3 linked regions of the Nothobranchius furzeri genome follow. The protein of the gene in region 1 purifies or fractionates together with the protein of each later gene. This does not show direct contact. Links are inferred from orthologs where the notes say so. Each region holds a gene or a part of one and is shown in the gene's direction. Other genes may lie near its edges.

Region 1 (4,496 bases):
GCTTTGAACCATGCGGCTTATAATGAGGTGCGGCTTTAGTCAACCAGAAATGAATGGATGCTGGAAAGTCTACTGAAGGAGTGGTTAAAGGAGTGCTACGGAAAGCGCCCAGGAGCAATTTTTTTCACAGTAAAACGGCGCTGCTTGCTTTCCCAGCTTCACCCCGGGATGATGACAGCAACACGGAGAGCGACACTGACATCACCACAGAAAAGGTATGTAACAAAGCTCTTCTGAGGCTGTTCATCTCCGACACTGAAGAAGATAACTTCAGTGGTTTCAGTGCGCAGGAGGACGATGAATAAACTAATCAATAACTTTTCTGTTTTGTTTGATACTGATCAGTTCAGTTACGTTCAGTTAAACTACGTTTTCAATTCAGTAGATTCTGCGGCTTTTAGCCCGGTGCGGCTTATATTGAAGTGCGCTCTATAGTCCGGAAATTACGGTATTTATATATGCATCAACTGAAATCTGTCAGTTCAGTTCTTAGTCATTCAAAAGTGTTATCATCTTTAAGCCACAGTTTTGTCATGAGATAATAACATTTGATTTTTTTTCTGCTTTGAAATTAAAATTTAAAGTGAATAAAAATAATTAGCGATTGTGTTTTCATGCAGCTGTATTGTAATGATTATAACTAAATGTAGCTTATAGGGTGCCAAGCAAAAAAAAAAAAGCTAAATCTTTTTTAAAAAGTGTTTATTTTAAAGCTTTTGGATTATGCAAGGAAGATGACTTAAAGAACAGATAACAAAGCATGCAAAAATGTATTTTTAAACTCAAATATTAGACATTTTTAAGGCTGCAACATTACAAAAAGTTCATTACCTCTTTCTCTGGGGCTACATTGTTTCTTTTCCCATTCTGGTTCTTTTTGTTGTTCTTCCGTTTTTTTCCTGGTAGGTTTTTCTTAGGAGCTTGAGGTTCATCTTCACCCTTCAGGGCAGTCTGGCACACATAATGGGCATCATTCTAACAAAACAAACAGAAGACTGTGCATGCAGGCACACCTAAAAGCACCCAGTTTACCTTGAATGATGCAACTGCCTTGTCGTAGGCTTTTATCAGTGCGGTATCATCCCAAATATCCGAATCATCACTCTGAAAAAGAAGGAAATGCATTTAGAGGGTCTGCCTTACTTTGGTGCATGCTTATCCAAATATTTAGGTGGTACCTCTGTTCCTGTCACAGACCAGTGCTGTTTACAAGCTCTACTTCTAAAGCACTTCACTCAAAATACGAAGTTCTGATGCAGCTTGAGTGAATTTTGTGTGATTTATATCCTCCACCTCGACTAATAAAACCCAACAACAGCTATTGCTGTTTTGTGACCCTGTTTATCTTTGTTGTCCAACTAGCTAAACTTACCGGTGGTTTGTAGCTTAGCTTCCTAGCTTCTCGTTTTAAATAGATCTACAGGAAATAAAAAAATAGTTCGTATACTTTATCCAGTTCGACTAATAAATGTTTTAAACACACCTGCCCAGTTCCACGGGTAAATAACACGTCTCTACATCCATTCGCCATGTAGGAACACTGAAATGTGTGCCAATCGTTGTCAATTTCTGGACCCAACAATGTGCGTCGGAAGCGAGTGACTTGAAGTGACGTATATATCATGCGACAACGCTGTTGGCCTGGCAACATCTACAGCTTCACACGCCACAATAAAACAGCAGCTAAACCCAGCTTTTGATGAGTTTTTATCATTAAACCTGCTGATACGCACGTTTAGGCGTTTCCACCGCGGGACCAGATCGTTATGAGCGATTCATCTTTCAACTCTTTGGGTGTAAAAGTCGTTTTCGCTTCTTCCTGCGATGAGAATCACCCACCAGAAAACATTATGGACGGGTACTTGCTGCGCTTTGCAACACTGTTTGTCGTCTATATTCTAAATAGCATCGTATCTGATTAATTTTATTAACGTATTTTTTGTCCACATCTAGGAATACAAAAACATTTTGGACGTCCACTGGGATGTTTCCTCAAGAGTTCGTCATTCGTTTTCCTGAGCCCACGAGGGTTGCTGCGGTGACAGTGGAGAGCTACAATGGTACGAAGACCGTAGTGACAATAAATAGTACACACTGTCCAGGCTCTGTGATGAGCATAGCAACACCCTGAAGCAATGCTACTAGTTGCAAATATTTTGTTCGAAACTACCTTTTAGATTTTCCACCCACTTGTCTCACAAAACTAATTAGAGACATACTTTATACATCTCTAACACAATATAGGCTACATAAGTGTATTTGCACAGACCTGTAATCAGATGTTTATTATTCCCAGCAGCTGTGCTGATATTTAAAGGGGACACATTATGCAAAATTTCCTTTTGCATCCTTTTGTGCTGCCATGTGTGTCTCTACTGCCTCTAATCACTCCAAACTTCTTCCACAAGGACACACAAGTTCAGATGTTCAGATCGGGCCAGACAGGGAGTCAAACACAAAACAGTGTTCAGAATTTTTCTAAATAAAGATTACTTGCAGATACTCAGTAGCCTAACTAGTAGAAAAGTTTGTCACTATCTGTGAAGCCTCAGTGGAAGAAGTAAATTGATCAGAAAAGAAACCACAGACATTTTGGTTAAACACTGCCGTCTTTTCCTTTGCGTTTTGTCGCGTGTACTGCTGAAATCATGCGTGACCCTGCAGTTCTTTGGTGATTTTTTTTTTTACCTTGCGGGAACAGCTGCTTGGAATGCTTTTGCTACTGTTTCACATCGGAAATGCACCTGGTGGGAAGGGAGCTTGCGGGTAAAACACGCCTATTACATTAAAACACACCTATTACAGTACACACTAGCTTACGCATCCAGTGGAAAGATGGGGTATGAAGCCACAACATGCTTTTGTTTTATTCTGAAATCAGGTAAAAATAAATAAAATAAAAGGCAAGAGGCTAATGTTGGGCCAACAATGAATAAAAAAAATAGTCAACTCTAAAAATATCTCAAGCCACGTTTTTGAATACCAACAACTTGATATTACAGTGAAATGTATTTATTTACTTATCAGTTAACTGTGTATGGCTAGTCTTTACTTGTCATCAAGAATCTTCTGGGGCTGATCCGTCACTGGCGACAGCTAAACAGAGCAGACTCTGTTTATACAGACTGCAGTACCCAAATTTGACCACAGGATGTCATTCCCAAATTGTGACCCTTTAAGAAAAACAGTCATTTCTTTTTTAAGTAAACATAACTTAAATTAACCCTTTGATGCATAATGGTCACTACAGTGGACAGGTACTCAAAATAGTTATTTGTTTGTTTTTGCTATTAAGCACAGCTGTTGAAGACTTTATTGCATGTGAGCACCTCCATTTGTACTTCAGTAAGCCAGGCCAACATATTTCATGCTCAGAATGCACACTGTCCACTGAGGTGGACATGTAATAAATAATTTGTAAATTATAAAATTTTACGAAAAATATTAGTTGAAATTTGTTTCATTCGCACCTAAAGACGAATGAAAAAAATTGTAAAAAAAATCATGGTTGAAGATTTCATAATTCATGCATCAAAGGGTTAATCAATAAGAGACAACTTAACTTTAATGAGTAAAGTTAACCAAAAAAATGATTGATTTATTATTTTATGTTTCTATATTCCATTCATCTTTACATCAACCCTAAAGTGCGTCTGATAAACAGACTTGTATATTGTTTTATTTTAAATATTTGTGGATTTACAAGAAAAACAACCACAAACTAGCAATTTTGTTGGATTTCAGGAACAATAAACAACTGGTGGGGGAGGTGCATTGTGGGTAGTTATGTTTTCAGTTATTTAGCTCTATTTTGGGGTGTTTATGCATGTCTGTTTTGGAGGATTGTTGTTCTCAGTTATTATTTCATTCAGTGTTGCAGATGTGGTGTTACTTTTTGTATCATGTTGGCACCATAAGTGAGGAGGTTGGTCAAAGTAATGCTGTATGGCTGTGCTGTCCCATTGTTAATAATACTGTGGTTATTCACACCAGATGCTCTTGACTTGACTTTGAGTGTTCCACTTTCATTGGCTGTTAGCATTTATGGGTGTGTGAGTAATGATCTGGTGCTAGTTACTGCCTTCACCAGCCTGCCACATTGTCATTTCTAAGTAAATTCAACTCATTTGGGTTAGGGTTTATTAGGTCCATTTAGAGTTCATATAAGTTATAATATTTAAGTTAGTAAAAACATGTAATAAAGTTCAAATAAAATAAAATATGCAAGTTTAGTTAAATTAAACTTTATAAGTTGCTTAAGTACCAAGTTATAAGCTGGAGGTAGTTAAATGCTTTGATTTTATTCAGGTCATATTTTTTAAGTTATGGTAAACTTATAGTTTTTAGATAAGTTAACTTAAAAATTATTAGGTAATCAGTTTCCTCATAAATTTTGAGTTCAGTGAACTTATTCGGGGTTACAGTGTGTCCCCATTAAGAAAATCTTATTCACTGCCTCTCGTTTATCTTTAAAGCATATTTTTGTCCACCTGACT
Region 2 (3,923 bases), on another chromosome or scaffold:
TAGTGTTTTATGTGCTTACCTGCTGGTCTCTCCTTGTATTCATTAGCTCCTCGATCCTCCGCTCAGTCTTGTTCAGAATGATTTGTAAGCGCTCACGAAAGAAAACATGAGCAATAAGGTATAATTCAAGCATCACAATCCATGTTTGACTCAACTCCTGACTAATTATATCTTCTCCCATCATAGAATATGATATAATAAAACATTCACCTCATTTTCACTTTCAGCTTGTGTTATCTTCTTTAATAAGAGGTCTGTCCGTTTCTTTTCAGTAATTCGATTAACCTGTATAAGGAATTCATTATTAAAGCAGGTAAAGTCAAACTTATTACAATTTATATTTAGAGAAAAATTTTAAGTCATTTTTTTTTGCATAAATTCAACATTTAAAAATCCACCTCTGCATTTTGGTGTAGTTTTAACTCCTGTCGCACAGATTTATTTATTCGTCTAAAATTCTCCAACTTCTCCAGCAAAAGTCCTCTCTGCCTTGTGATTCCACGCTTGTCTTTGGAAGACGGTCCCAAATCCTGAATTGAAAGAAGATGTGATTATTTACAGACACGGTAAATGCTCAAACCAAACAGAAGAAGGTAAAAATTGCTCTTAATCATACAGTAAATTCATCTTCTATTGCATTTTTGAATGAAGCAAGTTGTATTCCTGCAGAGTTGGCAGCAGCTTCTGCATCAATCAGTAGTTTCAGAAAGGTGTGCTTCTCTTCAAAGCTAAATGAAAAATAGGGATGTGAGAAAATGTTGTAAGCCTTTTAGCTCCAGAGCACATGTTTATAAACATGTGTGTTTTCTCTGTGACCTGTTTCCTTTTTGTGGCTCATGACTGTTGTCTAGGTCACCACGCCTCAGAGTGAGATCATCACTGGTGGAACTGAATCCAGGAAAAGGGGAACTCTGGGGATCACCATCCTCTGGAGACATACCCCCCACTAACAAAAACATAACATAATAAACAAAATAAAACAAAGTGTTAAATCACTAAATATCCTGATGGAAATTCTATCTCATATGCTTATAAGATCGTTTTATTACACTTTACAGCCAATTTGACTTGAACCAGGAAGCCAGCGGACACCCAAGCTAACATGCTGTACTCCATAGCAACGGACAGGTTTGACTAAGCCGTCGTTTAACGCGTGTTAATTTGCCGAATAAGCTAAGTCACTAACAACCACGTGGTGACTAATGTAATTAAACTTAGTACATTTCAACTTTAAATCGTATATTCTAGAAAATTCTAATATTACTCACACTTTCGCTTTGTTTCTGTTGTAAATAATACCACTTCAACTGGGGAGGCAGCAGGGACGCTCAAGCGCGATTGGCCATCTTCGAAGTAACGTAATGACGCTACATGTTTTTCCCATCACTTATTGGCTCCTCGAGGCAAAGAGGGGCGGGACTACGTTTGATTTTAATTTCAAACAGCCAATGGACGAAGAAAGAAGGGGAGCTTGGTTGAAACCATAGAAACGACAAGGAAGTCTTGTAGTCGGAGAACATAAACGTAAATAAGCTAGTTTAGTATACTTTTATTCTTTTAACTTAAAATACCACACACATGTTTCTTTAAAGACGTACTTAGCAATTTATATTCACGCTGAAACGTTGATTTTCTTAGGGTTCTTAAAGCTAGCGTGATAGCTAATGCTCGGCTTCGGAAATGTTCAAAGTAAAAATACTCTTTGTTGGACCTACCGAGGTAAGTAAATGAACGTAAAACGTATATAGATGAGCATGTATTGTTAACTTCTTTAGTGATCTCGGTCCTCGAGATGTCCAACACGTTTGAGTTGATTCCCTGCTTCAACACACCTGATTCAATTATCTGTTCAACAGCTCATCATGCTCTGCAGAATCACCTACTCGTTGAAATCAGGTGTGTTGAAACAGGCAAACAACTAAAACATGCATAATACCAGCCTTCCAGCACCTTTACCCCAGTTCTAGTGTAAACTATTTTATGTTTATCTCAGTAGCACTTCAGCTAATATCGAATTCATATATTTATGACAGTCTAATAACCTTGTTATGACGGTGTATGGAAGCATTTAAAAGAAAAACGCAATGCTTAGGTTAATGAAATCAAAACTATGCTATTTTACGAATAAAGACCTTTTGAAAGTTTTTAATGTGTAAAAAGTAATTTGTGAAAAGACAAAAAGATTGGATGTTTTTGAATTCAACTAAATACATTTTATTTGGTTACTCGAGCACACTTTAATTGTACCTCAGCTATTTCCATTTTCATGTCACACCGGACATGTAGTACAAATAAAACTCAGATGCTTTTCAGCACCACTGGTCAGTTCATAAACATGCTTATATTGTAAAATGTGAGAACTAAACATATCTTTAAAGTGATCTATTCCTTTTTTCAGAGTGGGAAAACTGTTCTTGCCAATTTTCTCTCAGACATGACAGAAAACGTGGGCGGACAGTACCGACCTACTAAAGGAGTCAGGTACAGGCTGTTTTCCTTTCATTACCTTTCATTCAATGTTATTACCTCATATACATATTATACTAAAATGATCACATTCACTTTCTACTTGCTCAAGGATACTGGAATTCAAATCCCAGCTTAAAGGCAGTGGTGACAAGACCTGTGAGGTGGAACTTTGGGATTGTTCAGGAGATTTTAAGTAAGTCATATTCACTAAGAAAATGCCTTTTCTTTCTAAATGAAAGCTGCTTTTTGATGCCAACCCTTTTCTGCAGGTTTGAATTATGCTGGCCTGCTCTCATGGAAGACTGTAATGGTGTGGTGACCATTTTTAATCCTGCTGTTCCAAGTCACCTGAAAGAAATTGAGACCTGGTACTCCATGTTCATTGCATCCCAAGGTTTGCAGGACAACCAGTGTCTACTCATAGCTCATCACAAGCCTGGCAGTGAGGTAAAAGATGGGCAGTTGACTTTAGGTAATCTCCTAAAAGTGTTGCATCAGTTTTTTGTTTTGTTTTCCGAGCTAACATCTTTACTCTTTTGATGCAGCACCAAATCTGAGCAGACTGCAGCTTATTCACTCCAACCTGGAAGAGGACCCAGAGGATGTTAGACATGCTTTCTTCAGATATGTGGGAAATGTTGTAAATGGGATGTTGGAGAGTCAAGAGCGAGAGGAAATGTCAATTATTACTCAGCAGTGAAATCTGTACATATCTACCCGACTGACTGCACAGTTCATTGGCTTATGTAACTCATCAAGTTATTTTCTGTTAATAACTTGTCCCTAGTGTTTTATTAAAGGTTCATTTACTTTATACCTACCTACTTTATACCTTTATTCCTACCAAAGCAGGAATACATGTGTGCCATTACCTTAATGGAAAACAAAATAAATCAGTTCATTAAACAACAAACACTCACCTATAATATAATGCATTCTTTAGAACCATAAAGAAATGTCTAAAATGTCCACGCAAAAAAAAAAGTTACAAGTTTTACATTTCTGTGTCTGCACAAGTTGGAAATAAGCAAAAGGCACTTGAACAAAGCTAAATAAAGCATGTTACACGTTGTAGAGAAGCTCATGTGCAGCTTCACATTTACATGGATGACTGAATCATTACTCACTTTCCTCTGACTCACCCTGCACCTCACATAAGACAAAACACTGCTGGAAAAACACTCAGAAAACAATAATGTTGGACCACCCCACATTTCCAAAACAAAAATTAACCCTTGCTCCCATCTATTAACAGATTTAACTCAGCAGTCCTGTGGGAGAGGTTTGTGATTTAAGAGGTATTGTGAAAAGTTCCAATACAAAAAGAGAAATAAAAACCTTTCAGCTCTCATTTAATTCCTTAAGTAAAAGCACATGTACATATTTACGTTTGCATATACAAAAACGTTTAGAAAAAAGAGCATTACTCTTTCCTTTTTACGAAAACTAAAATA
Region 3 (4,362 bases), on another chromosome or scaffold:
ATTACACAGTCGTTGGCCCGAAGCCCGGCCCGAGGGCCATCGGGCCAACCCGACCTGAGGGCCTAGGGCTTCAGTGCAGGGCTCTAGATGAGATAGCAATCACTCCAGGCGTGCATCACTCCATCACAGACCCAACTGGGTTTTGCCACCACCGTTGTTTCTGGTCAGCTCTCCGCTCAGCCACTATGAAAACATGAAAATGTACACAATACAGTTTAACCTTTAATGGTTACATAAGATTTTTGTTTTAGTTACTCTTTTTATTGATAGTTGTGTTATTGTTAATTCTTATTTCTTGTCATTCCTTACTTAATAACAAAATAGCAAATGCTGATCTTATAAAGCAAGTGGAAATTAGCATTTTTATGCAAAATGTCTAATTTTTAAAAGTTATTGTTCGACTACTGTTCTTGAATTATCTTAATTCTATTCTTATTACTTGAGTACACAAAACAGAACAACATATCTTCTTACGTTCGTACTCCTGTTTGTCTCATGCTTCAGCAGTTTGCTGCAGTCAGTGTTATTAACTGAAAAATATTAAATAATTACTCGTCTTCACAATCACGTTTTCTTTATTATTGGTCTCTCCATTTGTGCTTCCGTTTCTGATGCATGTTCGTGTTGATACAGCAACCAGCAACGTATTGTACAAATATTCCCAAATAAAACTAATAATGTAAAAAGTTTATCACCTATTTGAAACTGTGGGGAATATTTTTAAAACGTAGAATCAAACAAACTGAAAGAAACCCGTCTACAGCTCGTCCTCCTGCTCACAACCAACAAGCTGCACACAGTTAGCTCATTAAAGGCGATCTAGCTAAAACTGGCAACATAAAATATCATCGTTGGCTTATTTTGGTACGAAGCGGTTAGCTAACGCTTCACAATGCAACAAAATGATGACATTTCATCAACTTACCGGAGAAAATCCTTCCGAAACACCAAAAATGAACTACTTTCCTCTTTATTTCGGGGATTTAATTACTAGGGAGGAATGTGGATCATATGTCCTTAAAACTTGTGCATCCTTACTCCATGGATTATTTATATGTGTGTGTGTGTGTGTGTGTGTGTGTATGTATATATATATATATATATATATATATATATATATATATATATATATATATATATATATATATATATATATATATATATATATATATATATATGAATGGTAGTCCAGAAGGACAAATTAAACTGGGGCCATTAAAGAGTATTACTTGTTTGGTAAAACAAACAAATAATAATGGATATTCATAATACCAGTGGACATGTGTTTCCGTCTTTGAGAGAAGAGAACTGTGTACTTCTCTTGTATCATAGCAACGGACGGAACCGTCTTCAGCCAATCATGTACATGTTTGACTAAGAGTGACAGTGAGACCACCAATCAGAAGCTCCAAAAGGGATTAAGCCCGCCTATATCGCTTTGGATTGTGGGTAATGTAACTGAAACGACAACAAACATCTTTCTAGCTCCAACGTCTGATTTATTTCTGCACACGTTCTTTAAGCAGAAGAGTATGGAAAACGTGCACCAGGCTGCAGAGGAAGATGACCTTTATTCTGGTTACAACGACTTCAACCCGGCGTTTTACTCGGAGGTGCGTGACCCGCTAACTCCCTGCTATTAGCTGCTGGTACTCTAGGCTCGAGGCTGAAGTTAGTTTAGCCTTATACTGTAGGCTTTATTAGCACGAACCACGGTGGTTTGTTTTGGATCATTTGGACATAAATGTGATGATACATTTTCTTAAACCTGTAGTTTGAAAATGACGTGGGCTTCCAGCAAGCAGTTAGAACAACTTACGGAAGAAGACCTCCGGTAAGAAACGTTTGTATTGTTTTTGTGTTCGTCACTAGAGAACCCCTTTTGGACTTGCTGAAGTTAGCTTCCGTTTCCAGCTTCTGATTCGGGAGACGGCTAAAGGGCCATTACACCCAATTTTTCTCTACTCTGACCATCTTTAATCTGCTCTAGCTCAAAACCTTACAACACCCACACTGTTCAAACCTGTTCTAGATTATTCCACTATAATAGCAGATTGCATAAAATTTTGTTTGGGATTTGTAAAACCTTTCCCTGATTTGTGAAACTTCAACAAAGCCAGATTTGTGCGTTTTTTCAGCAGGTACAGCTATAATATCAGATGTTTCCAGTGGTCTGATATGTCTGAACCTAATGGTTAAATGAGAATTGAGGATTGTTTAGAATGACTTGTATGTGTACACTTGTTTACCCACACTCATGGATGATGTTGTGTGTTTATCTCTCCAGATAGGTGGAAAGTTCCCAGGCACTGCCATTGGAGCTCGACCGTTGTTTTCTTCTTCTGGAGTAAGTACAAATATGTAAATGTTTAAAAACCTAATTGACAAAAGCCTACATTAGGTTTAGGAAACAAAGTACAACATCTTCGTAATAAATGACTTTTACACAGAAGAAAGTAATGAAGGCAGCAGGGCTGTGCAGTTTATCAAAGTAGTATTTTGCTTTTGACTTTCAAATGAACACAAAACAGTGTGATTTACATTAGCAAAATAATATAAAAACATTAAATAGACATTTTGTTTAAAGGTGTGGAACACTGAAGAACAAGTTTTAATGATTATTTCTGATTATAATCAGTCACACTGAGTTTTTCATGCAGGCTGAACATGAAAATAGTCTCCTACCTACCTCCTGCAGTAGCTTCTGATAGAAAGTAGACGGTGAAACTCTAGGATTAGAAAATCCTGACAAATCTACATCACATTGTCACTGAGCATTCATGGACTCACCTTGACTCACGACAGGGAAGGCTGTTGTTGATTTAGCGTCCAGGAAACAGCAGAGAATCAGAGCTCCTCCAGGCTTCAGTTATTTGTGGAGATAAAACATCAACGTTGCAAAGCAAACAGATTGAGTGGTGGAGTGGTGTTGCTGTTAGCCAATCAGAGGAGAGATGTCCAAATATCAGGAAATAAGACTCCAAATCCTGTTAAGCTCTCCTCTAATGTGGAATTCTGCTAATTTACATGCTAGGTTGCATCTGAGCCCCCCTCAGGTGTTGTAAGAGCCCGTGTTGCTCTGATGGTGGCCTTCAGCTCTTCTGAATTGTTGGGTCTGGCGTACTGCACCTTCCTCTTCACGTTACCCCATAGATTTTCTGTTTGGTTAAGGTCAGGTGAGCTGCTCTAAAACTTCCTGATAGATGGCTGCGTTGACCTTTGACCTCAGAAAACACAATTGACCAACACAGATTTCACTCAGTTTATGTATATAGCACCAAATCAGGACAAGAGTCGTCTCAAGGCACTTCACAAAGTAAATATTCCAATACAGGTCAGTTCATTAAGCCAACCCATAAGATTGCAGCAGATGACATGACACCCCAAACCTTTACGGACTGTGGAAACTTTACACTGGACCTCAAGCAACGTGGATTCTGGGCCTCTCCTCTCTTCCTCCAGACTCTGAGACCTTGATTTCCAAAGGAAATGCAAAATTTACTTTCACCAGAGAACATAACTTTGGACCAGCCAGCAGCAGTCCAGTCTTTGTTGTCTTTAACCCAGTCGAGACGCCACATCTTGTCCTTCCCTTCACATCTGTATTAATGTGCTTGGTCACAGAGCTCTGTCATCATCCGGCCTCCTTGTACGAGATGTCATTGGTCGTCTTTTGGACATCTTGTCAACTCAGCAGACTGAGAGACCATCTAAAGGGTTTTGCAGGTGTTTTCAGTTAATTAGCTGAGAGTGTGGCACCGGGGGTCTTCAATATTGAACCTTTTCACAATATTCTAATAATCTGAGATACTGGATTTGGGATTTTCATTGGTTGTAATGATCAAAATTATAGGAATAAACATTCTAAATATATCAGTCTATGTGGAATGAATGAACTTAATAAAGAAGTTGGAATTACTGAAATAGATCTACTTTGTCATGATATTCTAATTTAATGACCAACACCTGTATAGTTCCAGCCAAGGATGGCGATGACAGAATCATTTCAATTCAGCTTATTTAGATGGCGCCAAAGCAGGACAAGAGTCGTCTTAAGGGACTTCACAAAGTAAACATTCCAGTCAGTTCAGTTCATTAAGCCAGTCAGTAAAGCGTTTCATCTATAAGGAACCCAGCAGATTGCATTGAGTCACTGGCTGTTTCTCAATATGTATACTTGTCCCAACTTGTGTACTCGCGTCCTTGTGGAACATCATCACCGATGGCCCAAGGACTAAGTATGCATACGTTCGCTCAAAGTTCCTGGATGCGTTCTTGCTCCGCCCCTTGTTTCAAGGATGCATCCTTCTGCAGACTTGGGAAAAGCTAATAACTGTAATGTTTCATATTAGAGATGCAAAT

Evidence for each region. Proteins that work in one complex are often made in the same cells at the same time.
Region 2: the proteins of hspb11 (region 1) and ift22 purify together in Homo sapiens (affinity purification with mass spectrometry; 3 studies listed by BioGRID and IntAct, with this or other methods). This does not show direct contact. The link is inferred for Nothobranchius furzeri from reciprocal best matches to the Homo sapiens genes IFT25 and IFT22.
Region 3: the proteins of hspb11 (region 1) and ift88 purify together in Homo sapiens (affinity purification with mass spectrometry; 3 studies listed by BioGRID and IntAct, with this or other methods). This does not show direct contact. The link is inferred for Nothobranchius furzeri from reciprocal best matches to the Homo sapiens genes IFT25 and IFT88.

Annotation. Positions count from the first base shown.
Region 1 is NC_091757.1:41,300,637-41,305,132, reverse strand, and holds the start of hspb11 (intraflagellar transport protein 25 homolog), read left to right. Parts: upstream 1-1,637; 5' UTR 1,638-1,766; coding exon 1,767-1,858; intron 1,859-1,953; coding exon 1,954-2,060; intron 2,061-4,496. Other genes in the region: smn1 (survival motor neuron protein 1), read right to left, coding at 832-951, 1,033-1,104, 1,484-1,624. UniProt on the Homo sapiens protein: Component of the IFT complex B required for sonic hedgehog/SHH signaling.
Region 2 is NC_091751.1:48,583,644-48,587,566, reverse strand, and holds ift22 (intraflagellar transport protein 22 homolog), read left to right. Parts: upstream 1-1,435; 5' UTR 1,436-1,524; intron 1,525-1,638; 5' UTR 1,639-1,680; coding exon 1,681-1,719; intron 1,720-2,398; coding exon 2,399-2,481; intron 2,482-2,578; coding exon 2,579-2,662; intron 2,663-2,738; coding exon 2,739-2,941; intron 2,942-3,014; coding exon 3,015-3,169; 3' UTR 3,170-3,283; downstream 3,284-3,923. Other genes in the region: outer dense fiber protein 2, read right to left, coding at 20-91, 211-285, 399-530, 617-728, 817-938. UniProt on the Homo sapiens protein: Small GTPase-like component of the intraflagellar transport (IFT) complex B.
Region 3 is NC_091742.1:29,198,667-29,203,028, forward strand, and holds the start of ift88 (intraflagellar transport protein 88 homolog), read left to right. Parts: upstream 1-1,422; 5' UTR 1,423-1,532; coding exon 1,533-1,613; intron 1,614-1,774; coding exon 1,775-1,834; intron 1,835-2,253; exon of another isoform or gene 2,254-2,287; coding exon 2,288-2,347; intron 2,348-2,790; exon of another isoform or gene 2,791-2,917; intron 2,918-4,362. UniProt on the Homo sapiens protein: Positively regulates primary cilium biogenesis. Also involved in autophagy since it is required for trafficking of ATG16L and the expansion of the autophagic compartment.